Linked DNA regions of Diceros bicornis minor. The protein of the gene in region 2 interacts with the protein of the main gene of each other region in a biochemical or structural test. Links are inferred from orthologs where the notes say so. Each region holds a gene or a part of one and is shown on either strand. Other genes may lie near its edges. The genes, in order: IQSEC2, DLG1, ARHGEF26 and KCNA4.

Region 1 (7,973 bases), on a different chromosome or scaffold from region 2:
GGACCAAAAGAGATAATAATGGATGTGCAAATATTTAATATATGGTTAGGAGAAATTCAAAGTACTATCTAAACCCCCTTATTAATCCAGTAGCAAATGCAAAGCAAGGAAATCCAACAAACAGCCTGGAGGATGCACAAAAAGAGGGAAGGACCAAGAGGCGGGCTTGCACGGATGGCAGAAGCACAGAGCTCAAGAGCAAATGGGCTTCCAGCCAGCCAAGAGATTCAGAACCATGTCTGCAGGATAGAGAATCTGAGGGTTTTGGAATCCTGGAATTGGGGAAGACTTAAGTCATTTCATTGGGCTTTACACCGATTCAGGAATTACACTTTCTCCAGCTCTCCCGGACCCCCACCGGGCCTCTGCTGGACAGATCCAGCCAGCCCCCAACCCTGCCTGGTGATGCAGATGGCTGGACTGGAAAGTTCTTCCTGATTTATCCCAAATTTTCCCACTGCTTCTGGTTCTGCTCCCTGGAGCCACACAGAATGAGGCTGCTTCCTCTGTCACCATCCTGACCACTCTAGAAAAATCTTCCCCAGCCAAGGTCCCACCACAATGCCCATCCAGTCTGCCTCTGTCCCTAGCCCACCATGGCCCTCTCCTGAAAGGGCCTTGCTTGGCTGATCCAGACCCTTCCTCCAGTGTGGGGCCCCAAGTTGCACTCAAGCAGTCCTCCAAGAATGGGCTCCCAGCAGCCTCACCTGGGCAGGAGAGCCCATCTCCCTCACCACCAGACTACTCTGGGGCAGTCCACACCAAAACTCAGCTGAGGGTGTACTGCAGTGGAGCTCAGCCGAGCCGTCGAGCTGCAGCTGCAGCTCCTGGGGCCCAGCCATCTCAACCCAGCACCCCAGCCTGCTGCCTCACCACGGGGGAGTTGCAGAGAGCTGTCTCCCGGCAGATTTCCTGAGGCAGAAGGCTTCCCCACCCCCAGCCCAGCCTCCAAGAGACACTCCACTGGTTGTGGCACATGGTAGGACCAGCTGAGCAGTGAGAGGAGGGGGAAGGCTGTCCATTCGCTAGAGGACTTCAGACTTGCTCTGTAGTGTGGCTGGATTAGTCACAGAACCATCAAATCTAAGCTGGAGGGGTCTTTAAAGAGCATTTAAGGCAGACCTTGCCTTTTAGAAAGATATGGGAAAAGTGATGCCCTGAGAGAGGAAGGGACTTAGTCAAGGTCACAAAGCCAATCTGCAGCAGAGCTGGAAGGGAAACCTGGGTCTCCTAACTCCCAGTTCAGTGTTCTGTCCAATACAGCAGAAGAGAAATCAGGGAGCCTTTAGGGCAGCTCTGTGAGCCTGCACGCCCTTGACTCTCTCAGCCTGACATTTATCCCGACCAGCTCACCATGGTATCTGCATGGAAGAAGCGCACCCAGCCCATGTCCCACCAACCCAAGAGATATTGCCAAGTTGTGCCAAATAGGCAGACACACCGACACAGACCCTAGCACAGAAACTGGTACTCATCCAACAAGAGGGAAGATCTGTAGACTTCCCTTCCTGGTACTCTCTTTAATTGGGTGGTGTTTTTCTTGAGGGTGGAAAGGGGGTGGTCTTTGAGGAACTAGCCAAGGGTCAGGCCTCCATCTTTGCTCCCCCATCTTTGCTCCCCCAGCCGGATGTGCTGCAGTTCCCCTCAGAGGGATGTCTCAGCCTCCAGCAGCCATTCTGGTCCCCAACTGCCTCTCTGGGAAAGGATGCAGCTGAGGCCGCCAGAGGAGACAAGATCAGGCCTGCACCAAGCATCTGCAGAGAAGACCCCAACCGGCAAAAAAAAAAAAAAAAGGAGGGCTTTCTTTCCCTTGGGGCTCTGACTTGACACCATCGCAGACAATAAAAATCCCAAGCAGCACATCCAAAATAAATAAATAAAAGAAAAGCCATCCTCTGGCAAGGATACAGCTAGGGGGTGAAGAAGTGAAGGGGGTGATGACTGCTCTAGGCCCTCACTGGCCACGGTTTTGAGAAAGAAGCGACACCTGCACTGATCGGCCAACCCAGTCTGGGGTGGCTAGAGAAGGGGTGCATGAGGGCGACCTGGCTTCTCCTGACAGGTTGGGACAGGAGAAAAGGACATGGAATCAGACACTGGCTTCTTAATTTACCGGCCGGACAAGTTGGAGAGGGCACAAGAGGGGAAGAGCCGGGGTTGGGGGCGGGGTACAAACCACGTTCCTTACTTTCTCTGGAGGGTTGTGGCCGGGCTGGTGCTGGTACTGGTGCTGTGACCACCGCCGGCCCCGGGGCTGGAACTCCTGGATGCGCCACGGCTCAGCTGGCCCCGCTCCCGCGGTGGCCGGGGCCCCACGCCCACCGCCACCGAATAGCCAGCTTCCTTCTCTCGGCCCGGATGCGCTGGTCCGGCCTCCCGCCCGCCACGCTCGCGACCCAGGGCTGGGTTTTCGTGGTGCAGGTGGCACTGGGCAACGTCGCGCTCACGGGCTGGGTAACCTGTAGTGTCCTGGAGCGGGTAGGAGGCATCCCGTTCCTTGTCCCGATACACAGCCTCCCGGTTCTGGTAGGCGCCGTCCCGGTTCGGGTAGCCCACGTCCCGGGCCGCCTGGTGGAACTGGCTCTCCCGCAGCTCGCGATGGTGGAACTGGGTCTCGCGCAGGTTCTGGTACTGGCTCTCGCGGCCGGGGCTATCCCGCGCGCCGTGGGGGTCCCGGTGCAGCTCCCCGCGGTGCAGCTGGCTCTCCTCCCTCAGGTCGCGGTTCTCCTGGGTGAGCTGGTCCAGCTGGCCCTCCAGCTCTTCGATGCGCCGTCGCTGGGTCTCCAGCAGCTGCTGCTGGCTCTCGATGATGTTGTTCAGCTCCAGCAGGTACTCCACAGCCCGGTTGGGGCTCTCGGATCCCGGACCGCCCGGGGGCCCCGACCCCGCCTCCATCCTGGCGGCCCAGGGGCAAGGGAAGGGGCAAGAGAGCCGGGTCCCCGCTCGCTCACGGCGCCACCCTCCCCCGGGCCCAGCCGGGGGAGGGGGCCGGCGGGACGCGAGGGCGCGCACCGGGCTCGAGGGCCCGGGGGCCCGGGGGGGCCCGGGAGACAGCGCTGGGGCCGGCGGCACGGATAGCAGGAGCTGAGGCGGCTGCAGCTGCCGCTGCAGCTGCCGCTGCCGCTGCCGCCGCCGCCGCCGCCGCCGCCACGGCGCTCCGCCCGCTGCGGAGTCACTGCGCAGCGCGGCCGCGCGGGACCGCCCCGGCCGCCGGCCCGCCCCCCACCCCTGCCCCCACTCGGCTCGGCCAGGCCGCCCCCGCGCGCCCCACCTGCCGCTGCCACCCGCACCCGAAGCCGGACCCGCCCCAAGGCACACGGGTCAAGCCAGGGCCAGCCCCATCACAGGCTGCCAAATTCTCTCCCTTCCGGTCCCAGGATCCTCACCTAATGCAGCCTAACGAAGCCCTCCATCCCAGTCCATTCCAATGTCCCTCAGGTCCGCCAGGCCCAAGAGCTTCACTGAAGACATCCCAGGAACCCCCATCCCAGGCAACCCCCATGTTCAGGCATCCCACGGACTCCCCATCCCCTGGGTGTGCCAATCCCAGTGTCAGAATCCCCATCCAATCCAACCCCTGGACCTTCTATCTCAGGCGACAACCGGCCAGCCCACATCACGGGCAGTCCCTGGATCTCTTATCCTCGCCAGTCCCTGGACTGTCTCCCCATCCCAGCCAGCCCCGTGTCCCTCCAACCCAGCCAGTCCCCAGCTCCCCCATCCCAGCCAGCCCCTGGTACACCACCCCCCACCCAACACACACAACATCACAGGCATCCCCTACTCCAGCCAACCCCTAAACTCTCCATCCAAGCCAGTGCCCAGTTCCCCTATCCCAACCAACCCCAGGATCCCCCAGGTTAGCCAGTTCCTGGGTCCTCCAACCAAGGCAGTCCCAGGATCTCCCATCCCAGCAAGCCCTGGGACTCCCCATTGCAGCCAATCTCAGGATCAAAGCTCCATTCATTCATTCAACCCTCATTTTCTGCTCTCCTTTGGAAATGCTCTCCTCCGTTCAGTCCATCATCTCCATCCAACGAAACTGTAACCATCCTTCAAGACTTAAATGCCACCATACTGAAGCCAACCCTGATTTGCCCAGCCAGAAGCGCTTGCTTTCTCTCTCTCTTGACCTCCCACTGCACTTCCTCTACACTTCTTGTGGCACTGTGGGACAAGTGGAACTCTGCTTTATAGCACATTCATTTGTGTTTTTTTAATGTCCTCTGCCAGACTGAGTTCCTTAAAGCCAGAAACATGTTGTCATTCATCTTTGTGAGCAGGTTGCGGTAGAGGAGAAAGTATGAGTTTTACAATCGGACAAAACTAGATTTAAATTCTATCTTCTCCTCTCTGAACTTCCATTTCCCTATCAATAACACCTACCTCACAGAGGTGGTCTTGGAAAAAAGCATGCAAAAACATTTGGAACAGAAAAGACAACCACAGAATGGGAAGAAATCTTTGCAAATGATATATCTGATAAGGGCTTTGTATCCAGAATATGTAAAGAACTCTCACAGGTCAACAACAAAAAGGCAACCCAATTTTTTTTAATGGGCAAAGGATTTGGATAAACATTTCTCCAAAGAAGATGTACAAATGACCAATAAGCACATGAAAAGATGCTCAACATCATTAGCCATCAGGGAAAAGCAGATCAAAACCACATGAGCTTGCTGTGCTACCCATAAGGCGTTGTTCTGAGTTCCTGTCATAACTTAAAGGGAAACTTTTACAGTGTCCAGAGCCCTGATGTCCTACAGATGTAAGAGGAGAGTGTACTTAAATTCCTTGCAGCTGAGACCCACTTAGGTGGCAGCAACCTTGACTTCCAAATGGAACAGTGCATCTACATAGGGAAAAGTGATAAATCATAAATTTAGTTCATAAATAAAGTTCTCATCATAAATCTGAAGAGAACCTGGGAGAAGCTTCTGCTGGTGGCTTGTGCCATTGTTGCCATTGAAAACCGGGCTGATGTCAGTGTCATATCCTCCAGGAATACTAGCCAGCAAGCTGTGCTGAGGTTGCTGTTGCCACCGGGGCCGCTCCTATTGCTGGCCCCTTCACTCCTAGAACCTTCACTAACCAGATCCAGGCAGCCTTCTGGGAGCCACGACTTCTGGTGGTTACTGATCCCAGTGCTGACCACTGGACTCTCACAGAAGTGTCTTATGTTAACTTGCCTACCACGGCTCTGTGTAACACAGATTCTCCTCTGCAGCATGGGGACGTTGCCTTCCCATGCAACAACAAGGGAGCCCACTCAGTGGGTCTGATGTGGTGGATGCTGGCCTGGGAAGTTCTGTGCGTGTGTGGCACCATCTCCCAGGAGCATCCATGGGATGTCATGTCTGATCTCTATTTCTGCAAAGATTCTGAAGAAACTAAAAAGGAAGAGCAGGCGGCTGCTGAAAAGGTTGTAACCAAGGAGGAATTTCAGGGTGAATAGACCGCTTCAGCTCCTGAGTTTACTGCCACTAAACTTGAGGTCACAGACTGGTCTGAAAGCATGTAGATGCCCTCTGTGCCTATCCAGCATTTCCTTGCTGAAGACTGGAGCACTCAGCCTGCCACTAAAGATTGGTCTGCAGCTTCCACTGCTCAGGCCACTGAATGGGTAGGAATGACCACTGGGTGGTCTTAAGCTGTTCTTCCACAGGCTCTTAAACAGAAAATGGAAATAAGGTTGTTAAGAAATAAACATCGGTTTCTTAAAACACACACAGAGACACATGCGCTGAGATACCACTTCACATCCACTATGATAGCTGAAATAAAAAGGACAGACAAGGAGAAATATTGGCTAGCATGTGGAGAAATTAGAACACTCATTTATTGCTGGCGGGAATGTAAAATGGTGCAGTCACTTTGGAAAACAGTTTGGAAGTTTCTCAAAATGTCAAACATAGAGTTACCATATGACTCAGGAATTCCACTCCCAGGTATATGCCTGAGAGAAATGAAAACATATGTCCGCACAAAGACTTGTATATGTATGTTCATAAAAGCATTATTCATAATATCCAAAAAGTGAAAACAATCGAATGTTCATCTATTGACAAATGGGTAAACAAAATGTGGTATATCCACACAATGGAATATTATTCGTCCATGAAAAGCAATGAAGTACTGATACATGCTAAAACATGGATGAACCTCGAAAACATTATGCTAAAAAAGATACAAAAGGCCACATATTGTACGATTCCGCTTATATAAAATTTCAGAATAGGGAAATCCATAGAGACAAAAAGTAGAGTAATGGTTGCCAGGGGTTAGGGCATGGATTGGGGAAAGGGGAGTGACTGCTAATAGGTATGGGGTTTTTTGGAGGGAGAATGAAAATGTTCTAAAATTAAATTGCAGTGATGGTTGCACAACTCTGTTAATTAAAAACCACTGAATTATACATTTTGAAAGGGAGAATTTATTGGTATGTGAATTATATCTCGATAAAGCTGGGTTTAAAAAAAAAAACACCTTGCACAGAGTCTAGCACATAACAGCAACTACAACAGTAATAACTAACACATCTGTGGTGCTTACCATGTGCCAAGCACTGTGCTGAACACTTGACATGTACAAATGCACTTACCTCCATCTTACAGATGAAGCAAGTGAAACCCAGAGGTTGAATGACTTGCCCAGGGTCACACAGATGCATAGCCAGGATGCTCAGATGTTTCCTTCTCACTTCTTTGTATCTTTCCTCAGTACCTTGTATAAAATAGGTGCTCCATAAGTGTTAAATTAATATATCCATCAAATACTTCTATTCATCCAGTGAACATTTACAGCGCATTCATTATGTTCTAGGCAATACCCACATTCCCGTCCTTATCCCTGCTTCTTTCATTCAGATTCCCTGTGGGGCAGGGGGCAGATGGGTACAAAGATTTATTCACAAAATATTTATTGAGTGTCTACTATGTGTCAAGCACTATTCCAGACACTGAGGATATAGCAATGAGCAAAATAGACAACAGTCCCTAACCTCAAAGAGCTGACATTCTAGTGGGTGAGAGAGATAATAAACAAATAGAATATAGAGAGCATGTTGTATGGTGTATTGGGTTGAATACTATCCCCCAAATCTTGATGTTCACTCTGTGAATGTGACCTTATAGATGGAAATAAGGGTCTTTGCAGATGTAATCAAGTTAAGGTGAGGTCATACTCTATTAGTGTGGGTCCTAATCCAATGACTGGTGTTTTATAAGAAGAGAGAAATTTGGACACACACACACACACACAAGGAGAACACCATGTAAAGATGGAGGCAGAGATTGGAGTCTACAAGCCAAGGGATGCCAAGGGTTGCTGGCAACAATCAGAAGCTAGGAAGAGGCAAGAAAGGATTCTTTCCTAAAGGCCTTCAGAGGGAGCATGGCCCTGCCAACACGTTGATTCTTGACTTCTAGCCCCCAAAACTGTGACAGAATAAATTTCTGTTGTTTTAAGCCACCCAGTTTGTGGTACTTTGTTATGGCAGCCTTAGGAAACTAACACAGATGGTGCTCTGGAGAAAGACAAAGCGGGGAAGGATGATGGAGAGCTCTGGGTGAATCAGGCATAGGCTGTGCCCTCAGGAAGCTCCCAGTCTAGTCAGAGAGCTACAACCATAAGTCACAAACAAAACCATAAGTCACACAAGCAAGACAGAATGTGCAAAGCACTAGAATGGAGGCACCAGGACTGGGGTGCTGGGAGGTCTCTATGGATGTGAAAGTATTTGAGCTGAGCTTAGGATTTCAACAGGTAGCACAGAGGGAGGAAAGGAACAGAGTCAGGAAAGCAATGTGTGTTTAGGGAACCACACGTAATTTGGTTGAAGAGGGCATGAGAGACGCACACGTCTGTGTGTGCGTGTGTGTGTGTGTGTTGTAAGGGGTAGGAGGAGATGAGAAGACATGGTTTGATTCAGCTTGGAAAGACTCCATTGCCAAACTGGAGCATCTGGACCTTCT
Region 2 (7,572 bases):
CTTAGTCCAACTTTCTGTCCTGGGTATCTACCTTCCACTGACAAGAAAGCCTTGCTGCATTCTTTCAGGCTCTGCCTGATAGGAAACTCCCACCACCTTGGGGCAGCTCTTTGGAATTTTGGACAGCTCTGACAAACCATATTAAAGAAGAATTTCCTATGTTCCTGTAACTTTCATCCATTAGTTTTAGCCCTCTCCCCTGGATACACAGAATAAGCCTATTTGAAGACTGAGGTCAAGCTCCCTGGAGCCCTCTCTTTTCTCAAAGAAATGACCCTAGATTCTACAATTGTTCCCCTTAGGGTAAGATTCACATCTCCTATTGTTCTAGTTCCTCTCTTCTTTCCAGATGCTGGTTTGTCTAGATCCCTCTTAAAGTGTACAGCCAGGAAATGCCCCCTGAGCTCTCTGTGGAGATCTGACCAGCATGGTCACTTCCATCATTCTCAACATTGTTCCTCTTCTTGCAGCCTAAGCCGGCATAAGCGTTTTTGATGGCATCACATCCTTTCCTTTTAGTGATTGCCTTGGCACAGGCAGCACACTGCTGCTCTGCCAGAGTAAGAACAAAAGATGCAGTAGAGTCTGGCAGGACCTGGGTACCTTTACAGAGGATAGGCTGGGGACTTGGACCAGGGAGAGTACAAATTCAGAAATGTGGAACTATAAGGGTGGCTTGGGTAGAAGGATGGTTGGGAAGGGAAGATTTAGAACTGAGAGAGAATATTCTTTGTGATCAAATCTCTGACATCTCAATAGAAGAATGGGAGATTTGAGCCTTTTCCTGTGGTCCTCTGACTCCTAAGCCTTTTAAGCTATTTGAAAGAAAAGTGAACTTGGGGCTGGAAAGTGTATATATAAATTTTTTTTAATGAGGCAGTTGAAAAAGTAATCAGATCCTATATTGGATCCTATTCAATGGCAGCTGCTACCTGCATAAAGTAAGAAAGACTTCAAGGAAACAGAAGTTGTTTGGAAAAATCCAGTGTCATTGCTTTGTATGTTGTAGTGATGTGGTAGCCAGCCTCCAAGATGGCCCCTAATGATTCTTACCTCCTGGTATTCATACTCTTGAGGCTGACCTAAGTAACCAATAATATTGTGAAAACGATAGAGTGTTACTTCTGAGATTAGTTCATGAAAGATGTTGTGGCTGCTGCCTCACCCTCCCGAATCACTTGCTTTGGAGGAAGTCAGCCACCACGTCATGAAGACACTGAAGCAGTCCTACAGAAAGATCTTCATGGTGAGAAACTGAGGCCTCCTGCTAAAGGCAGCATCAACTTACTAGCCATGTGAGTAAGGCATGTTGGAAGAGCCTCCCTTAATCTCAGGTAAGAATTCAGATGACTGCAGCCCTGGTAGACATCTTGACTGCAATCTCTTGAGACCCCAAGCCAGAACCATACAGTCAAGGTCCTCCTGAATTCCTGACCTGCAGAAACTGTGAGATAATGTTTATTGTTGTTGAAGTTACTAAGCTACTAAGTTTTAAGCTACTAAGCTTTGAGGAATTTGTTATGCAGCTATAGATAACTAATACAAATGGATAGATAGGAGGAATGAGGAGTAAAGGCCTCTGTAGGGGCACCAGCCAGCGTGCCCCTTTAAAACCATGAGTCCTTGAGGCTCCTTGGCTGGGCTACGTGGCAGCACTCACGATGATAACAGTCCTGGGCTTGGCCAACCCAGCTGTTTTCTTGTGGGATAATTAGCACAGAGACCCTTGCGGTCTGAGGGAACACAAAGGCCCTCCAGAGGGGAGTTCTGGTCCTTGGAAGGCAGGTCATACAGGGATGATCCCCCTTGGCAAGCATGCAGCCTTTGTTCCTCTGCCTACTTAAGCAAGCTTCTCTCAGTGGGCAGTTGCCGGTGCACATCTCCTGTCCAGCCAGCCGCCACTGGACGTTCCCTGTAAGTAACTCCCTAATAAACCCATATGTCTTGCCCGCTGTCTCTGGGTCATTTCTTTGGTCTCTTGGCAAGATACCCTGCCACCTTAGCCCAGCTGGGTGTGCGGTCCTACAGCCCCTCATACTAGGCCTGCACTTGTCATGGCCCCTAAGGGTGGAGAAAGTGCTAGCTTCTTTTCTGCTTTTTGACACTGCTGACAACTGCATAGGGATAGAGGATGACAAGAAGGAAGGGCATCATGCCCTCTTGTCTCCTCTTTCTCCTCCCTCTTCTCTTTGTTTTTAGGGGAGGACTAGGATGACACTGAGAATTCACACAAATTTTTTTTTGACTTTTCAGTAGCTCTTGGGAAAGGCTGCGCTAGCCTTTATCCATTTGGTAGTAGGCTGTGGGTCCTTGAGAGCTGGGCTTGGATATTATTCATTTCTATCCCCATTGCCTAGCAAGTGAACGTATATGAACAACGAATGATACTAAGAGGGAGGGCGAAATCCCTCTCTCCTTCTCCTCAATTCTGAAGAGACTCCATTCTTAGAATGGTTCCTTAAGTGGAACCATTCCATTCACAGTTCATCAACGAAGTCTTGATAATAATAGCATGCGTGCCATCAGCCATTTTCACTATTAAAAACTCCCTTACTTCACTATTTTAAAAATCCCTCTATTTAAGCTCCTTGCTTTTAGGAGACTTCTCTCACTTTTACATCCCATTTCTTCTATGAAATGTTGCTTTAACTGTTGCTCAAGCTCCAAAGATGCTTAATCCACGACAGTATAGAGATCTGCTGCCAATACACCAACACACCATTGTATGGAAAGAGCCCTGGCCTGGAGCTAGGAGACCTAATTCTGGGTTGCTGTCACTGATTAGCCTATATGTCCTTGGGCAAGTTGCTTCTCCTCTCTGGACCTCGGTTTCTTTATCTTAAATGGAGAGAGTGGGTCTAGATGAGCCCTAAAGTCGTCGGGTTCTCACAAGAAGTTAAGATTCCAAGGTGCAATCCAGAAGTGAAACCCAGTGGTCAGAGGCATACGTCTGAGTAACTGTTATGGTTACAGTACAAGGTTCTCCGGACTTCCCTTTACTAGCCCAAGGATACGGCCTCCGTGAAAGGCTGTCAAGTTTACTGGGAAGAGTCTTCCGGTTTTGAAAGACACGATCTCCGTGTTTCCAGTTTTGTCACTAACTCTGGATGACCTTGGGCAAATTTTTCTCTCTCAACCGCAGAGCAGAGAGATCTTTGTTATCCAGAAGAGGCTCAAAGACCTGGGCAGTGACTTGAAGAGCTTTCCGTGATTCTCCTACAATCCGAGTGGCTCAGCCCCGGAGCAGGGTCCTGGCCGGCCAGTAGTCCCGCTCCAAGGTGCAATCAAAACTCAGACCAGCTCTTTGAGCGAGGGGCGGCTCGGCTTCGGAGGCGGCGGCTACAGGTGAGTTCTTAAGGGGCCGCCAGAGCTTGGGTAATACGTGGAGACTGGTGACTGGGCAGCGGACGTAGGCAAGGGGGAGTGAATGAATGAGTGAATGAAAGAAGGAACGAATTTTCTCTTCATACCCTTAAATGCATTCATTCATACTTGTGATGAATTCATCACTTAGACTTAAAAATCCCTTAGTAAAATCCTCAAACTCTTATCAAATTAACCAATCTCCCTATTTTACGTGCCCTTCTTTAATTCACCCCCCCCAAAAAAAAAACTTTTACTGAGGGGCGAATAGTAACTTGAAAAAAATCAGTGCAGAGTGGAAGACTGTGTGCAGAGATGGCACCCCCCACCCCCCGCCCAAACTCCTCCCTTTCCCCGTCCCAGGCTCTGCCCTCCCCGCCCCCTAACGTGGGGGGCGCAGTCCTCCCCAAAACCACTTTTCTAGGTTGGAGATCTACCCCCGGGAGCGCCAGGTACTCTCTCCTGCCTTTGAGTTGGAAACAGCATGTGTCTAGTGAGGTTAAAGGGAGTCCTGAAATGTGTCTTGGATCTGGTGTAAGTGAGGTCACGTCTCTCTTCAGACACCCCGACCCTTCTGGGTCTGGGGCGCTACTCGCTCAGAACCGCGGGGCACACCGGTGGACTACGGTTAGGTAAAGGCAGGCTCTTCCAGGCCACCCCGGGCCACCTGTAGAGTCTGTGTGTCAACTCCTTTGTCCTCAGAGCCACTTCGGTGGCCGTCCTTTTAAGCGAGGAGGTTCACTTGGGATGCTCCCCAGGTCCCCTTCCCCGTTCCCCAGCCCCCTCCCGGCCCTCCTCCCCCTTCCAATCCAAAGGTAGCAGCGCTGAGAGCCCGAGGCTCGGCGCGAGCCGCCTCCTCACTTCCCATTGGCTGGGAGCGCCGGGAAGGCGGTCACGTGGGGGCGCGGCAGTCCAGCTCGGGGGCCGCCATCTTGGCGGAAAGTTTGGGGGGAGAGCGGTTGGGGGCGCGGAAGGAGGCGAGGTTCCGGGGGTGGGGCGGCTAGAGGGAGAGAGGGCAAGCGGGCTAGCGGGCCGTGGTGAGCGAGGAGGCGGTGGCGGCGGCAGCGGCGGCGGCGGAGGAAGAGGCAGCGGGGGTGCGGCCGCCGAGGGGAGCTCCTCCCCCGTTCCCTCACCCCCCTGAGCTTAGCTCCTCGAGCCCCGGGCGGGGCGGGGGGACGTGGAGCGGGGGCAGGGCGGGGGAGCCGCCCGAGTCCGGCCGGAGCGCACCCCAGCTCTGAGCGCACGCCGCTCGCAGGAACTTTGTGGCGGCGCCGCAGGTGTGGGGGCCCGCGGAGGTGTGCATGTGGGGCGCGAGGGCGTCGCGGAGAGCGGCCGCTGCCCTGTCCGGCCCCCGCTGGAGTAACCCGGAGGAAGCGAGCCAGGAGAAAGGCAAGCGAGGGGAGAGGGCCCGAGCAGGGCGGGGTGATCAACCCAGCTGGTCCCTTCCCGGAGCGCTCTACAACCGCTGCTGGCTTAGGGGCAAGGGTCGGAGCGCCTTTTCACCCCCCCAGTAGCAGGTGGGAAGTAGGCATACTTATACCGGGGGAGGGGTGGCCCCAGGTCTAGGCATTTAGTGCCCTTTAGAGAGGGGGCAGCTTTCGAGGAGGATTTGGAAGCCGACTTCTCTCTGCTTTTAATTTGCAGGGCTACCCACCCCTGGGTAACAGCTTTCTAGATTGATTGACACTGCTAGGTTTTGAGGCTCCTCCTCTCACTTGGGAAAACTTTGCCAGGTGGGCTTTTCCAATAGGGCTGAGAGTTTTTCGGTTTGAGATTTAGGGGGAAATGCTAGTTTAACCACAATTCTTTTCTTTAGTTCTGTTTGCTTTCTGTTTTATGTTTTTAAAGGTGTGTGCCCTCTTCCTGATTCTGGAGAAAAATGCCGGTCCGGAAGCAAGGTGAGAATTTATTTTGGAACTTTCTTGTGAGTGTCACTTGCTTTTCTGTGTGTCTGTTTTGTGATTGCTGTGTTTTAAAAATGTGTAACTCTGATGAGACAGCACAGTCCTAACGTTAGTAATCTAAGCCTCACATCATTCAGAAGATGGAAACACTTAATGTTTGTCAAACTTTCTTCCTTGACATCTCTGTAGTGATTGGAGAGGCAATTAATGTTTTCCCTCTGAAGTGTCTTTTTGAAAACTCTTAATTGGTTTTTTAATATTTCACTTTATCATTTTTACTAAACACTATTTTGTGAGCAAATGTGGGATATTGGCTAAGAGCTAGTATTTTGAAACACTTGAGATTTGGATTATAATGACATTGTGGATAATCTGCTTTTGCATATCAGATCAGCTGAAACTATGTTGCTAATACTTTGATCAAATGATCTTTTATTGTGGTAGACTAGCCATACACATTTATTACAAACTACTCACCTTCCTCTTCTTTCTACTGTGACATATGTTTAAAATTTTTTGGATAATTCTAGGGAATATACCTGTACATGAACATAGTAATATCGATTGACCTGGAGGATTTTGAGAACTGTTGAGACGTCTTGCAGAATCATTTGCTTCATAGCTAGTGTGTAATACTTTCTTGTAAATATATAATTTTTATCAGACTCCTTTTTTCTTCTCAGATACCCAGAGAGCATTGCACCTTTTGGAAGAATATCGTTCGAAACTAAGCCAAACTGAAGACAGACAGCTCAGAAGTTCCATAGAACGGGTTATTAACATATTTCAGAGCAACCTCTTTCAGGCTTTAATAGGTGAGACTTATTACTTTATTTGTGACCATTATGTGTCAGCTGGGCTTAATGCTGCTCTGAATTCATTTATTTTACTCATAAGAGAGTGATGTACTTGGTTCTCTGTGAGTCATTCAGTAACTTGAATATGCAGTGAGTTGTATATTTTGATAGTTAGGCCAATATCCTTTCCAAAAAGATCTAATAACCAAAAAAACTTTCAGTATGATTATTTCAGTGGTCTTTGCTAACAGTGTTTCATATCCTAACATTAACTATTAAAAGATGGAGAAGTTGCAAAAATGTTTCAGGACTCAAAAGGTAACTACTGTGAATACTTGCTTCTGTATTTGACTTGTATTTCTGTGGAGTACCTGAGAATGCTTGAAGAGTTTTGCTGTGTTTAAAAACATTCATTCCTGTAGTATAGATGTCTGTTTGAACTTGGTATTCATGGAGTCAGAATTTTAGACCTGAAAAATGATCTTAGAGATAATCTTGTCTAATCTTATTTTACAGACAATAAAATTGAAACAGAATTTTATTAATTGTAATTTAAATATGAGGTGGTGCATTGTTTTGAAGGAGAACTGGACAAATAGTCAAGAGTCTTGAATTCTATTCTTGACATTGCCGTTAATTGAATGATATTACACAAGTCATTTAACCTTTTTTTTTTTTTTTTTGTGAAGAAGATCGGCCCTGAGCTGACATTGGCCAATCCTCCTCTTTTTCCTGAGGAAGACTGGCCCTGGGCTAACATCCATGCCAATCTTCCTCTACTTTATATGGGACACTGCCACAGCATGGCTAGCCAAGCGGTGCGTCCGTACGCACCCGGGATCTGAACCAGCGAACCCCGGGCCACCGCAGTGGAGTGCGCACACTTAACCGCTTGCACCACCAGGCTGGCCCTGTCATTTAACCTTTTTAAGGTCACAATATTAGCTGTAGAATGTGGGTGCAGTGGAACAGTGGTTTTTAAGCTTTTTTTTTTGAGTGGCTAGATCCTTTCTTAAAACAAAATCTTATATTTTGTACCCAATCCTCGGTATATAAAACAAGGTGATCTGTCTCTGGCCCTCTCCTCTAGTACCTTGAAAAGTATGCAAACCACTGAAATAGAAAATTTGTCCCTTCCAATTCTAAGAATATAATGTTTTTTTATTAGTCATTGACTATATAACATATTAACACAAGACATACACTTCATTGCATTACATTTATTTTCTCAGTAACTTCCAAGTATATCGATATGACCTCACATCTGTCTGTTGTTAGAGTAACTTTTGATGTGATTTGAGGACTACCTTCAAGTTTGTGTACCCTGTCAACTTATAGGTAAATTGATATTCTCTGCTGAATTTGTTTTAGAATTAAAGATTTTAAAGAAGACCACTGAATACACCTGAATATTTTTTACAAATTTAACATTTTAATAGACTTTTAAAACCATACATAAAAATGGAGAGAACAATATAATGAACTGCTGTACACCTATGACCCATCTT
Region 3 (7,436 bases), on a different chromosome or scaffold from region 2:
CCATCAGGGCTGCAGGCGGGGCGGCTATCCTCATGTTCTCCCAGTTGACACCTGACCCACCTATTTACACACAGTCCACTAATCTGATTAGGGTTTGAACACCTGGTGAAGCGGCTTTTGTTTTTGAGATTCTTAACAAAAATACTATACTATTCTTAGGAATTTGTTTCTGTCAGCCAGGAGAGTTAGATTTCCCCAAAATGGAAACTTGACAAGGAAACAGGCGGTCAGAAATGATACTAAAATGCAGAAATACGCGGAAAAGAAGCTTAAGTCAAAGGAAATAGGACCTAAGGATATAGGACTTTAGATCTAAATCCCAAACTCCCCGAAAATTGAAGAGCTGGGGCCTGCTCCTCCTCCTCCTGCGTTTCCAGGGAGGGGGGGACAGAGCAGGAGAGGGAGGAAGTAACACCCCAGGACAGTGACCAAGTCATCAGCTTACAAGAATGCCACCAATTTCACTGACTGTTGGTATCACGAGACGAAAGTTCAGCTTCGTGCAGGGCTTTGTGCTGTATAATTTGGGAAGAAGTTGGACATTTTTCTCATCTCAAGCGTTTTTGCTACTGCAGTTGGATTTCGACTTCTGAGTGAAATTCCACATTGAAACAGCAATAAAAGTCTGGAAAACCACATGCTTACCTTCCCCATCAAATGCTCCTTGTCCTTTCAGCGTTGTTTTCTAAGAAACAAGAAAAGCAAAAAAAAAAAAGAAAAAGCATAGCAAACTATGTATGAATGAGCCAAACAGAAAATACAGCTGTTTTAAGTAAAAGTCCTTTTCGTTACTTTCATTAGGGTTCCAAAAGCATGCAGCCGCTGACCCTGGGAGGGAGGAGCTCACGCATGTGACGCTACAATTCACAACAGGGGAAATAAACAGTGTCCCCACACCCCGTCAAAACAGCTCGGAACCCTCAGATGAAGCAGTTCAGCTCATTTCACTATTCATGACTCACCTCACTATTAAACTGAACTCTGCTATACTTGCAGAGTTGGGGGAAAAAAACACATAAAATGTCATGTAATTTCTTTTCTTTAAGGCCATAGGATCTAAAATAAGACAGGCTTGCTGTGTGTGACATGTGTACAGACTGGTTCCAGTCCTCCGATTAATCAGGAAAGGATGTGGTGCCAGAATGAGTGTCTCCCTGCTGCTGTCTGTCCTGTGTCTGGAGAAGACAGCACACAAACTCCAAGACACCCCTCTCCAGCTTCCCTGTTCCTTCCCCTCCTATTTGGCAGCCTGTTAACAAGTGCAGCTCCTAGGCCTTATCAGGAAGCAGTACCACCCACTTCACTCTAATCTGAAGTTCTGAGCCACCAACTTGCTAAAGCACTGCAGGATGAGTGGGCACCAAATGGGAATAAACACAACCAGAGGCCGTGGTGACAGAAACAAGCAACAACAAAGATGACAAACTATGTGTGTCTTCTGTGATTCTGGCAATTGATTTCAAAATTCACATATTACCTACATGGCATTTATTATGTGATCACCACTCAAAAAATAATTCAATAACTAAATGACTAATGTAAATAATTAAAACAGTCAACAGGCTCAAAGGAAGTCAGTGTTCTCCTGGGTCGGCTGTGATGGATCAGCACGCACTGAGCGACCCCTGCAAACCAGCACAGGACAGCTGACCCAAGATCGTGAGAGCAGAGGACGCCTGCTCTCCATCCCCTTTTCAGCTCCTGTACTAAGCGTTTGACTCACTCAGCCAATACTTAATTTGCGGTATTTTTTTCCATTTGCCCACCACATTTTGCCTGAACGTAAGAGAGTTATACAACAGTGGTAGGAGTTTCGCTTCCCCCCACAAAGCTGCATTACCTTGGGCAGTGCCGGCCAGCAGCAGAATGGCTGAGACAGAGGTGCACAGGTCTGACCCACCAACCACAGAGGGAGGGCCCCTCCCCACTCGACACCTTCCTACTCCTACCTTCGTCCTCCCCAGGCTGGAGAACCTCTCCTTGTCCTCCAGCACGGCTCTCAGGACAGGCTGGGACATTCTGTTCTTCTTCTTCGAGGTGGCCGGGCTGTCCACGTCAAGGCCACTGACCACAGCCCTGCGGTAGGAGGTGGAGCGCAGGCCCCTCCGCAGGGAGCCCGGGCTGTCGTCGGCGCCGTCGGGCGGGGGCGCGGGCTGCGCGGGGCCCAGGGCCGCCCCGAGCCCCTCCACCATGCTGCGCGCCTTGACCAGCCTCCGGTGCGGCTCGGCGCCCTGGCCGCCGGGCCTGCTGGCCCTGGTCTCCGAGGCCAGGCCCCTGGGGATGATCTGCTGTTTGCCCACCTTGAGGGCGGCCGGGCTGTTGGTGCTCAGGACCACGGCGGGGCCGTCCGGGCGCGCGTCCCCCCGCGGGGGCGGCCTCCCCGGGGACGCGGGGTCCTCGGCCGCCCGCGCGGCGAGCGCACGCGGGCCGGGGCTCCGGGGGCACAGCCCGTTCTCCGCGGGCGCGGACAGGGGCCGGGCGGCCGGCGGGGCTGCGGTCCGCGGGGGGCGCACGGGCTGCGGCGCGGGCGAGGCCGCCGGGCCCTTCGCCGGGGACTCCGGGGGGCCGCCCGACGCCGCCCTGGGGCCCCGGGGCGACCTGGGCCGTCGGAGCCGCGGGGAGACAGCCCTGCCGCCGGGGGGCACCGTCCTACCGGCCGGGGCGGGGGGCGGCGCCCGGTCCTCGGCCGGGAAATCGGTGACCAGCAGCCCGCTGGGGCTCTGGTAGGAGCGGGGCCGGGGGGGCGGGCCGCCGCCGGAGAGGGGCCCGCGGCCCTCGCCGTCCATCGCGGAGCCCGCGCGTCCACCGGCCGGCCGGGAGCCTCCGGCAGCGCGCTCGCCCGGCGCACTCGGCGGCCGGCCCGCCACGCGGTCCACGCGCGTGCCCACCGCCCGCCGCCCTCCCGGGCGGGACCCGCGCCGGCCGGACGGGGGAGCCGCACGGAGGGCCGCCGCCGAGCGCGGACGCCGGGACAGCACCCTCTCCGCGGGCGCGCCCCGCGCCAGCCGGCCGCCCGCCCCGGGCGCAGCTACCGTCGGGCTCCGCCCCGCCGCCGACGAGCCCGCCCGTGGGTGGCCCGGCCCGGCCCGCACCGAGTCCGCTGGCGGGAGCGGCCGCCCCGCCCGCCTTGGCCACGCCCCAGTCCTGGCCCCGCCCTCGGCCCGGCCCCGCCCCGAGCTTGGTCTCGCCCCCAGACTGGGCCCCGCCCTCATCCTGGCCCCGCCCAGGGCTGGCCCCCCCTCTTCGGCCTTGGCCACGCCCCCAGCTCGGCCCCGCTCCAGGCTTGGCCCCCTCCTCGGCCTTGGGCACGCCCCCACCCCTGGCCACGCCCTCATCAGGCCCCGCCCCAGCCTCGACCACGCCCCAACCATGGCTCCGCCCTCAGCCTTGACCCGCCCACAAACTTGGTCCCGCCCTGTGTGACCCCTCCCCCAGCCTTGGCCTCGGGTGGTCTTAAAACGCACATCCGGTGGCCTCGCCCCCGCGGCGTGAAATATTCTGTAATCTGGGTTTGCTCGTTCGTGCCGCGGTGTTCCGAAGGGCCCGCACGGCCCGCTGCGGAGGGGCGGGGGTGCTTCCATCGTCGTCTCCGGGTGTGTGTGCTGAGTCCGGAGTGTGACCTCTGAAAAGTGACGCGGCTTCACCGGCGACAAGGTGCTGGTGTGCGAGCGCACGCGGACACCGTCAGGATCCTGTCCCTCTTGGGAAGCCCTGCGCCGCGCGCCGCCTCTGCGGCCCGCCCTGTCCCGCTGCCCCTCGACCTCTGACCTGTGGCCGTCAGAGAGGCCTCCGCGCCGCCCTGACCCCGGCCCGCGTGTCTGCTTTCCCAGGCGCCTGTCCGCGCTCACGGCAGCCTGCGCGTGTACCTGTGCTCGTGCGCCCCGTCGCGCTGTGCCGGGGCCGCGGGCTCGGGGCGGCGCGTGTCCACTGCCCGCTGGCCCAGGCGCACACCCCGGAGTGGAGGAGGGAGCGAGCGACGCGGCACGGGGACCCTCCCCACAGCGCCGCTGCCAGATCCAGACGGGCCTGGCCGGCTCCTGCCGTGCGCGCAGAATGAGGCAGCTCGAGGAGACGACGCTTTTCGGGCACGACATCTGTGTGATCAGTTCTGCTAGCAGCACGTGTGGGCTGATCGCCGGGTCGGTTCAGCCTGCGTGCATCCGGCGGGGATGCGGTGAGCATCCAGTGTGTGCGAGTTCGCTCTTGTGGTTGTCCTAGATACGTCGAGTGGAAGGGCCAGAGATATTGAGGCCATCTCTGGGTGGGGAGGTGAAGCATGATGTTTTTCATGCCTCTTTATACTTTCCGGTTCTTACCAAATGCTGTACATTGAATATATGTTACTTTGATCTGAAATATTTTTATAAACTAGAAGAAATGGCCTCCAAAAATTGAGTTTTTTAAAAAGAAATTTACCAAATATTTTGGCTGGAAGAAATATGGCTGATTACACACTCACACATACCCACTTAATACAGCACATTTTCATACTAGCACATATTACTTTTATTTTGGAAAAATGTAATAACTAATGACAAAATGAAATGTTACCTAATTCGGAATGCGATCGGTTAGACGCTAGCTTCTCTTCAAATTATGTTGGATCTGCAAACAAGTGTAACTGATGATTGTGAAGAAATCACAGGATCTTCCTACCTCATCCCAAAGGAACAACATGATACCCACCAAAACAGCAACAACAAAACACCAAGCTCTGGTCCTTCACTGAGGGAAGCTCTGAAATTCACAGACCTCCTGCCTCTTTTAGCCTCCATTCAGTTTCTCCTATCGATTCAAATCTAAGGCATCTTTGATTACATGGAACACCAGAGAAGGAGAAGAGCTGCCAATTAAACTGTGACACCATGTGTTATCACAGAGGATTTCTGTTTTACACTTCCTGAAACAGTGCCTTTAGACTTAGACAAAGATTTCTCAGTAATGTGCATACATGGAAAAGGAAAATGTAGGCAAATAAATTGATTAGAGTATTTCTAAAAATTCTGTACACTTAGTCTAATTCTTCTGAATCCCTTTTCACGCAGAGCATCAATACGTGTGTTTTTCCACACAAGATCATTGATAGTGCAGCATTTCTTAACAAATGTTCTAGTCCTGTCTCTGGGATCTGCTTCCTAGCCACTCACACTCACTCTGCAAGTTTGATGCTGGCGCTATCCTTTGTGACTGAAAGCGTAGTTTTCTTGTTCAGCTGAATCACCTGCCTACAAGCTGTGCAGCTTCTCTATTAACGGATGGAAGGAAGTTTCTGACAAACTGTAGCTCCGGGCCTTCACTATAGTCCTGTGAGAGTTTGTGTGTGTAGTGCCTGTGATCCGTGAATCGGTTATATCAGCCTCTCTTGCTTTGGAATCCCTTCCATCTAATCTGACACATCTGGCAATTTCTCCTGCCTTCAGCTGCATTTCTTGGCATATGGCTTGGACACATGTAATACTAAATTGCACAGTTAATGGAATTTACTTAATTCCACAGAAAATGGAACAGTTATGACCATGTTGACAAGCACAGAGGCAATGCCAGGTATGTCATGACTGCCACCTGGCCGATGGCTGTTTCCTTGACAGTACACATCCCGGTGTCAGAGATGGGACCAAAGTGCTTCTTAGGATTGGAGAAATATAGTATATTGAACTAGTAGGAATGACATATTCCACTGGTATGTTCCAATGGTATAGTTTTTAATTTTTAAAAATTTTAATTTTTTTCCAGTTTATTGAGGTATAATTGACATATAACATTGTATTAGTTTAAGGTGTACAACATAATGATTCGATATATGTATATATTCTGAAATGATCAGCACAATAAGTTTAGTTAACATCCATCACCTCACATAGTTAGTTTTTTTTCTTGTGATGAGAACTTTTATGATCTGCTCTCTCAGCAACTTTCAAATATACAATACAGTGTTGTTAACTGTAATCACCATGCTGTACATTACATCCTCATGACTTATTTATCTTATAACTGGAAGGTTGCACCTTTTAACCACCTTCACCCATTTCCTCCAATGACATATTGAACTATTAAAATATTCAATAGTATAACGCAGGATACCAGAGGCTAAGATACCAATTGTTGCTACATTTACTAAACAAATTTGCCTTGATCACCAATTATGTGTGTGGCATAATAATTAGGCTAATTTTTAAGTGCAATTTGTTAACTAGTATTACTACTTTGCAGTTATATCTCATGCACTCTTTATTCATTTATTTACATATTATATTGGGTGCATTTAAGTGCCAAGCTCTGGACCAGGCCTTCCTGAAGCTTATAACCTGGCTGATTCACTACGTTTGAAATATTAAAATAATCATATAAGGCACCTAGGCTGAGTAAGATGCATGCTGAGCTCCCTGCTCTACGAAAGGCTTTGTGAAGTCTGGAGAGAACTGGGCCAGAGAGCAGGTCAAATATTGTGGGGTGAAGAGGAGACAGGTATCCCAGAGAGCTGCCCCAGCAGGCACAGAACCACGGGGGGATGGCTGGAAAACTGATGTTTACTAAGAGCCAATGATATATGAAGCACTGTCACTCACCTCACATCGATCCTGTATCTACACAAAGAGCTCTTTATAGACTGTTGTTTAGTTGTTGAGTCAGAAGCCTGACTGGGGTCTGTCAGACTCCAGAGCCCATGAGCTCCCATACCAGAGACTAAACTCACGAGAACAGAGAGTTTGCATGTAGAAGTTGTGGGAGATTAATTCAGCTAAATATGGTGAGACTAGACTGTGGTGTGCGACATAAACTGAGGGTCTGGGATTTCCCTGGATGGCATCTGACACTCTGAAAGTATTTAAGCGTTTCTATCCTTTAAAACAAATCGGACGATACCAATCTCAGAAATAAAAATAAATAAAAATGAACGGATTTGTTTGTACATTAAAAAAATTCAACTAAACTCATAAAATCTGAGGGAAATCTTCTCTTAGAGGAAAATTAGAGAAAAATATTTAAACATGCACATAACAGACAAAGCGTTAGTATCTACATCATTAACAAATCAATAAGAAAAAGGTAACTATGGAAAATGAGCAAAGAGTGAGAATACACATTTCAGAGAAGACACAAGTGCCCACTATACATAAAAATATACTCAGCCTCAATAGTAAAAACAAAATTAAAGCAGTAATGACAGCATAGTTTTTCATTCATTAGATCAACAAAGATTTAAAAAAAAACACAAAACACCCACTGTTGGTACAAGTGCAGGCAAAAGGGGGTTCTGACCCATTCATACTAGGAATGTAAATTGGTACAACCTTTCTGGAGAGCAATTAGATGATACTCAATCAAACCTTGAAAACAGGCAAATCTTTGACCTAGTAATTCCACACACAGGAAATAATCCTTGGTGTGTGCAAAGAAGTACGTTCAAGGATGTTCATCAAAGCATTTCTTACTGT
Region 4 (7,045 bases), on a different chromosome or scaffold from region 2:
CACGAAAAAAAAAAATAATGCTGTCACTTTACAGCTGCTTCCATCATTCACTAATCTCAAGGCATTTTTTTAAATTTCCACTCAAAATATTTCTGAATTTAGTCCCCTTCCACCCCTACTCTGTCTTGATTCAGGATTAGAGAAATCGGAACAACTAGTTTTCCTTAATCCAGGCTCCACTGCTTGAACAAGCTTCAGTCACCTTATCTACAAAGTGTAGGTAATAATACAACCTCCCCCCTCCCTCTTGGAAGCATTAAATGAGATAAAAGATGTTGATAGAATAGCACAGAGCCTTGTACATAACGAATATCAATAAATGCTGGTAGTTACTAATACCATGACAGTAACGTAAACTGTTACCATCTATCCACCCACACCCACGTGTGTATGTCCTTACAGCACTGTCTCAAGTAGGGAAGGACGGAACGTGAGGACACCCAGGGTGTTCTGAGACTCACCCGGGGCCTGTGTCGAGTTGGCACTCCCTGACTCCCTGAAGCATGTCCTTGTTGTTGCTTTTCTGTTCCTCAGACTCCAGAACACTCTCTGCCACCCACAGCCTAGGAGCTAATCTCCGTTTCCAGTTGTCTAAGAATCATCTTCTGTCCTTGCGTTCCTCCATGTTCACTCTAAGGCTTCCTCCTACACTCTTCTCAAGGGACTATCTCCTTACATTTTAAATCCCAGTTCGTGTGGACTTTATTTTCAGCCTATCATACTTTCCCCTATAATTTAATCCATAGCTCCCATCCCTCAACCCCTCCTCCTCTCTCTCTGCCCGCCTTTACTCCCAATCTCCCCCTCCCTGACCACATCTTCCTTGCAGCACACTCTGTCCCCACTGTCACTTGGTAGTCTTGGCCTTTCTTCTTCCTTGGTTTCCTCTGCCTCAGTCCAGCTAATTCATCTTCTCCACCAGGACCTGTAAAAGCTCCCACTCCAGTCTCCTGTCTCCTCTTGCTTCTTCCATTCACTCTGTCCAGCAGGACTTCCAAGAATGCAAAGAGTGGCCCGGGGAACCGGGAAGGATATGGACACTCAGAATTCAGGGCATCAGAATGGGCACCAGCTTCTATTACTGGAAGCACTGGGGGAGCATGAGAGAAATGGCTTTCTGCAGCCATTAGCAGGATTCGGCTCTTGACCACCTGCTGCTGCTTGCGGAACCATGCCAGCCTAGAAGCCTCAACACACCCGACTTTTACGAAGAGATAAGCAGGGAAGTGGCAGACAGAAGGCTTCTCAGCCACATATCCCTTCCCAAGAACACACATTCTCATAGGGCAAGAGGCGAACTTGATGGGACACAAACCCCTGAAAATATACCTCTAAAGGTATCTCAAATGGCATCCTCTTTCCCTGACTCCGAACATCATCCCATACTCTGAAATGTTTCCCTCAGGAAGTCTCCAAAGCTCTGCTTTCACTGTGGAGGGTCAGACCAACATCCTTTAAAGACTTTCACAGGCCAAATAGCCTAGGAGTCTGCTCATCTTCTTCCCCAACTCCCTCAGAGCAGTTATAATACATTATTTACATAAAGCTCCAGTGTAACCAAAGTGCCTGTAAATTCGTATACTACGCACACCTCTCCCGCCCAACTGACGCCCAGAAGGTCATGAATCAGAGGGTCTTCTCATTCACCATCTCCTGCCCCCTTTCTGTTCCACACCAAATAATTTCTAATTTATTCCTTTATTTATTTAGGTGTGCTAGTTTTTGTTTATCTAACTCCCTCCCCCACCCTACAAAAAGCAAATTATCTTCCTTTTAATTGGCTACCAGTTACCTCACTATCCCTGATCTTTAAAAAAAGAAGAAGAAAGAAAACATCCTTCTACCCAGCAAACCAGACTGGTTTAGAAATTCTCTTCCTTCTCAAGGTATTCCTGTTAGGAGAATCCAGTCAAGCCGACTCCCAGGAGCCTTTATGGGGGAGACCTTTGCAGCGAAATGTCCCTTCCTCTTTAACACCATCAAACTAATACGATTTTGCAGACTACCCGTTCCCCAAACCCTGCGCCCCCAAACAACAGCAAAGCATCCCGCCCCTCCTCCTCCCACCCCCAACAGGGCTGTTTTCATCTCTCAGTGCTAATTCCTGCAACTGTCTTAGGGTGGTACCTGAACCTTATCAGGGAGAGAGAGAAAGAGAGAGATTGAGAGAATCAGAAAGGCCAACACCGTGAGAAACATACACTTCAACGCACGCCATTTGCACAGTCGCTATGTGTTGCTCAAATGCTCAGCAAATGCACGCAAACCCAAATGTTGGGAGAGGCAGCAATTCAAACCGCTCGCCAGCTGTTTCCCAAGGAACGGAACCGGTGAGCCTGGGAGGAGGCGAACGCTGCTGAACCTGAGCCGCGCCTCGCCGGGACGACATCTTCCATCGCGCCCCCGCCTCCAGCCCCGGCCCCCCGGCGCCGTGTGCAGGGCGCACCCCCATCCCCAGCCCGGGGGTCGCGATAGCGACCGTCGGCCCCGAGCGCCCCGCAGCATCTGCACCTCCCTCTCCACCTCCTGGGTTATTTTTAACCGCCTTCCATTCATGCCCTTCTGTCACATTCCCGATATTATTTATCCCTCAAACGCCCACTGCTTCTGAAGAGCCGTAGAGGAGAGTGGGGAAAAGACCCGAGGGCACCACACTTACCGATCCAGGCGGGCGCACAAGAAAAATAGAGAGAACCCCGGTGTCGTTCCCCCCAGAGCGACAGCAGCCGGAGGAGGGGAAGAGCGATCTCGGGTAGAAGGAACCACTCCGGGGAGGCAGGCGGAGGCTCCAGGACATCCAGGGAACAAGTTCTGTCGCCTGCACGGGGGCGCAGGGTTCTCGCCGCTGGAGCCCGGGGCGGGGGTCGGGCTGCGCCCGGGAAGACCCCAAGACTCGGGCTCCTCCGGAGTTCAGCACAGGAGGGCCAGGTGGGAGAGGAAGTCAAGGCTCCGCAGCAGAAGCAGCGGGATCCTAGACAGCAGCGAGCGCTTGTTAGCGGGAGCAGCGCCTGCAGCACGCATCCCCCGCGCGCGGCGCTGCCGGCGCCGCACACGCCTCCCGGCCGGGAGCGCGCGGGGGGCGGGGCCAGGGCGGGGCGGGGCCTGCGGCTGGGGGCGGGGCCTGCGGGCCGGGGCGGGGCGAAGGGGCGAAGGGGCCGGAGGGGCGGGGCCTGCGGGCCGGGGGTGGGACGCGCGCGCGGTGGCAGGGGCCCCGGGGGCGGCGCGGCGGGGCGGGCGCGGTCACGACACCGTCCCCGCCAGCCCCCGCACAGCCCCGACGCCCGGCTCCCGGGAGCGGGTGGGAACCCTCTGGAGCCCCGAGCTGTGGCCCCGGGGGGAGGAGCTGGTCCCGACGGAGGAGCCCCAGGAGAGGTCCGGAGGGTGCCCTCGCCGGGTCCAGTCTGGACAGCGGGGTGATTCTGGGCGTCCTCGCCCCCGCCGGGCCCGCTGTCTTTGCATCTCCCCGGCACCACCGCGCCCATGACGGGTTTGTGGGGTCGGGGCCCGGGGCCCCTCGGGCAGGCAGCCGTCGGGGGCTCTCCCGCCTGCGCGCGCGCCCGGACCCCGCGGTCCCGCCTCTCCGCACAGACCTTCGGCCCCAGCTCGGGAGTCGGGCCTCAGGGCGCGGAGGACCCATGAGGGGAGGGCTGCAGAAACTGGACCCGGCCCAGGCGAAGGGAGGCAGAGTCCGAGGGGGAGAGAGGCGGGGGACTGGGGCAGCGCTAGCGCGGCCCGGGGCGGGGGCTTCGGAAGGAGAAGAGCCCTCGGTGAACCTGTTGCTGGGCAAAGAAATGCGATTCGGCAAGAGGCTTGGCTCCGGGGAGGTCTCTACCGTTACGGTCGGATCTCTAACACCACCTACCCCCATTGAACAACAAAAGCCGCATTACCCCCGTGGGCACTGCCCCGTGGGCACCACCTCCATACGCACTATCCCCGAGGGCACCACCCCCGAGGGCACTACCCCCGAGGGCACCACCCCTGTGCGCACTACTCCCTGGGCACTACCCCCCTGCCACTACCCCCCAGGGCACCACACCCGAGGGCACCCCCGTGCACACTATCCCCGAGGCCACCACCCCTGTGCGCACTACCCCCTGTGCGCTAGCCCCGAGGGCAGGCAAGTGCGCCCGCAGCGCGTCCTCAAAATAGGCTGGACTCCAGGTTGCTTATTAGGTGGCTGGCGTATGAAATGCCCCCGGACGTGGATGTAAATGTGCAATCCCCACAAATCCACAAAAAGAAAGGTTAGTGGTGGGAAGTGCGAATTTACACACAGACACGCCAGAAGTTCAGGTGGCGACCGGGGCTCCGGACACCACGCCCCGCTCCCCGGGTGGGCCAGCCAGGTGGTCGCGGCGCGTGCCCAGGCTGCTGGAGAAAATCCGACCTTGGGAGGGTCAGTTGGCGCCGAGGCCGCCACTGTCGTCCTCAGCTGGCAGCTTTGTTCGAGGGCCCTATTGGGCCTCCTCCTTTTGTGGCGCTCGATTAATTATTAAGAGAAATATTCCCGAACTGAATTATAGATATGCCCTGCGCTCACCAGCTAACCGGGGCTGGCTCAGCGAAGAACACCTGGAGGACTGCTTTTCCTTGCTGTTTGATTCTTTTGATCTTTTTAAATAACTAAAAGATTCTCATTGTAATCAGTGAAAAGAAAGAAATAAAAGAAAGAAAAGAAAAACAGATGTGGGGTCTGGTTTTCCTAACATCCTCCAGCTAGTGCAGCTTGAACTCTGGGGGTGACTAAACCGACCTGTGAGGCTCTCGTGGAGGAACTGAGAGAGAGGCGCCTCCAGGCGGGCTCTGGAGAGGCTCTGCCTCTGCGCATTCCCCACCCTAGTCCGTTCCGGCACGGAGGGAGGGCCGATGTCCCCAGAAACCATCACCTGCACTGGCCCCGACCCTCCCTCTGTACCTCCTCAAGGTGATGGAGTCCCTGTGCGGTTTCGTACATTCCGACTGGAAGCAGATGATTGCGGCTATTGTCTCATCAGAACGATGTTTCTTGGTATGGTGGAAAGCAGGGCTGAGGGCACAGGATCCTGGGACTAGTTTCCCAAAAGCAATTTGTGAGATCAATTGGGAGCAACTGTGGAATGCTTTCAGGGAGATGAAAACTGAGATTGAATGATGCACAAAAGATGACAGTTACGTCGAAGCTTGGACATTTTAACTGGACCAAGTTAAAACTTGATGAATTATGCTTCCATGTGCCATTTACTGTTTGTTCCTATCATGGCCTAGAGAATTTTAAAGTTTAAAATGCCTGAGGATTTATAAATATTTGCGCTTCTTAGGTATCAGGAATCTGAATTCCTAAAGCACCCCAGGAAGAATGCAGCTGAAGGAAAACCCTCTCAGAAGATACTCATTCAGGTGCTATGAGGATTACTTGTTGAAGACTTGATCAAGGCAGGTAACGCTCTTTCAGGTGCCCACCCAGGACCCCGTCTGTGCTAAGTGCTTCGCATGCCTGTTGGCTAATTTTATCTGCCTAACTGAACACTTTATGTGGTAGGTCCTATTATTATCACTATTTTATAGAGAAGGAAATGAGGCTTACAGTGTTTAATGAACTTGCCCGAAAGTTATAACTAATTATGTAGCAGAACTGGGCCCTTCAATCTGACTCTGCACTGTGGACAGACCTCACGCTAGTGAGGGTAACACCGTGTGGTCTTTGCCCATTTGTCCTCACAAACTAGTGTCTGTTACAGATGCATAGCCAGATTATGAAACAAGGCAGGTATGCTATGATGGAGGTATGAGAATGGTGTTCCTGGGATGCAAAGAATGGAGTAGCATCTAATTTGGGGGAAGCAAGCAAGGATTGACAAGGAAAAAGGAGATGTCGCTGAAGAATGATGAGAATTGCAGTGGCTGCCGTAAAGAATGCACAGGCATGTGGCCCTAGGGTGAACCAGGAGTAACTGGAACCTGACAGATAGGTGGGGTCCCACTGGAGAGGACATGCTCCTCCTCCAGGCTTCCCCTCAACCGTTGCACGCACACACACACACAGACTCACACATTTCCATGCACACACACCTGCATGCACACACACACAGGCACAAAACTCTTTGCTCTTTTAAATAATTTCTTTATAAAGCAAACAAGAAATACTCCATTTCTCTCCCTGAAATTCTCTTAAGAATTCCTAGAAATACACACAAATAAACAGTAGCAGAAAATTCTTTGCTTGTGCCCAACAAAAATCTACCTGTCTCAGTCTGAAACTGTATTTTACTTGGAGAGGAAAAAATTATTTTATTGCCTTTCTTAGTCATCAACTAGCCAAAATTTTTCAGATGCCCCCCTCTATATACACCTGTTACCACAAATAATTTCTCCCTGGCTTTGAATTCTCTCACTGCTGGTACAAATGTTCCAGACCACACTAGGAAGCCTTTGTTGATATAGAAAGGGGCAACAGGCAGCAGATCCTCCTCTGTACAAAACAGATGGGAGAGGCCTTGTGGGATTAAACTAAGTCCATTATCAATGTTTTTGTTCTCTTTGGGGACCATGGTCCCCAGTGAATTGCAATGTTCTGTTTACTCCTCCTCTCTCTCCCAAGAAGCCTGTGACACCTCCCTGAAAACAGGCACTGTATCCCAAGCAACCAGCCCAGCGCCTGACCCCAAGTGAGCACTCAATAAGAATGAACGAAAATGAATGAATAATGAAAAAGGCTTCCATTTGCCAAGAAAGTTCAGTGCATGTATTGGGAGAAAACTAAAAGAAGATCGCTTTTTTACCTGCTTACCCCAGCGCCTCACCTCTCTGACTTTCAAAGTTCTGAAGGATGTGAGAGTGAAAAAGTCCTGGGGGACTTGATTCCGTGTCTCCCATTCCCAAATTTATGGATGCAGATGTTCTGAGCAGCCCATAATTCCTTATAAAATGTGAGTCACTCAGCTAGTTTTTTTCTTGTACATGGAATTTTTTTTTTTTTTTTGGTGAGGAAGATTAGCTCTGAGCTAACATCTGTTGCCAATCCTCCTCTTTTCGCTGAGGAAGATTGGCCCTGGGCTAACATCTG

What was found.
Region 1: the proteins of DLG1 (region 2) and IQSEC2 interact in a test that uses a peptide from one of them, tested with the Homo sapiens proteins (2 studies listed by IntAct, with this or other methods). The link is inferred for Diceros bicornis minor from reciprocal best matches to the Homo sapiens genes DLG1 and IQSEC2.
Region 3: the proteins of DLG1 (region 2) and ARHGEF26 interact in a test that uses a peptide from one of them, tested with the Homo sapiens proteins (2 studies listed by BioGRID and IntAct, with this or other methods). The link is inferred for Diceros bicornis minor from reciprocal best matches to the Homo sapiens genes DLG1 and ARHGEF26.
Region 4: the proteins of DLG1 (region 2) and KCNA4 interact in a biophysical measurement, tested with the Homo sapiens proteins (2 studies listed by IntAct, with this or other methods). The link is inferred for Diceros bicornis minor from reciprocal best matches to the Homo sapiens genes DLG1 and KCNA4.

The regions. Positions count from the first base shown.
Region 1 is NC_080781.1:46,648,387-46,656,359, reverse strand, and holds the start of IQSEC2 (IQ motif and SEC7 domain-containing protein 2), read right to left. Parts: upstream 3,012-7,973; 5' UTR 2,896-3,011; coding exon 2,189-2,895; intron 1-2,188. UniProt on the Homo sapiens protein: Is a guanine nucleotide exchange factor for the ARF GTP-binding proteins.
Region 2 is NC_080754.1:29,485,180-29,492,751, reverse strand, and holds the start of DLG1 (disks large homolog 1), read left to right. Parts: upstream 1-4,562; 5' UTR 4,563-4,752; intron 4,753-5,211; 5' UTR 5,212-5,242; coding exon 5,243-5,261; intron 5,262-5,950; coding exon 5,951-6,082; intron 6,083-7,572. UniProt on the Homo sapiens protein: Essential multidomain scaffolding protein required for normal development. Recruits channels, receptors and signaling molecules to discrete plasma membrane domains in polarized cells.
Region 3 is NC_080741.1:1,455,185-1,462,620, forward strand, and holds the start of ARHGEF26 (rho guanine nucleotide exchange factor 26), read right to left. Parts: upstream 3,018-7,436; 5' UTR 2,787-3,017; coding exon 1,950-2,786; intron 686-1,949; coding exon 646-685; intron 1-645. UniProt on the Homo sapiens protein: Activates RhoG GTPase by promoting the exchange of GDP by GTP. Required for the formation of membrane ruffles during macropinocytosis. Required for the formation of cup-like structures during trans-endothelial migration of leukocytes.
Region 4 is NC_080746.1:85,611,048-85,618,092, forward strand, and holds the start of KCNA4 (potassium voltage-gated channel subfamily A member 4), read right to left. Parts: upstream 3,003-7,045; 5' UTR 2,660-3,002; intron 1-2,659. UniProt on the Homo sapiens protein: Voltage-gated potassium channel that mediates transmembrane potassium transport in excitable membranes. Forms tetrameric potassium-selective channels through which potassium ions pass in accordance with their electrochemical gradient.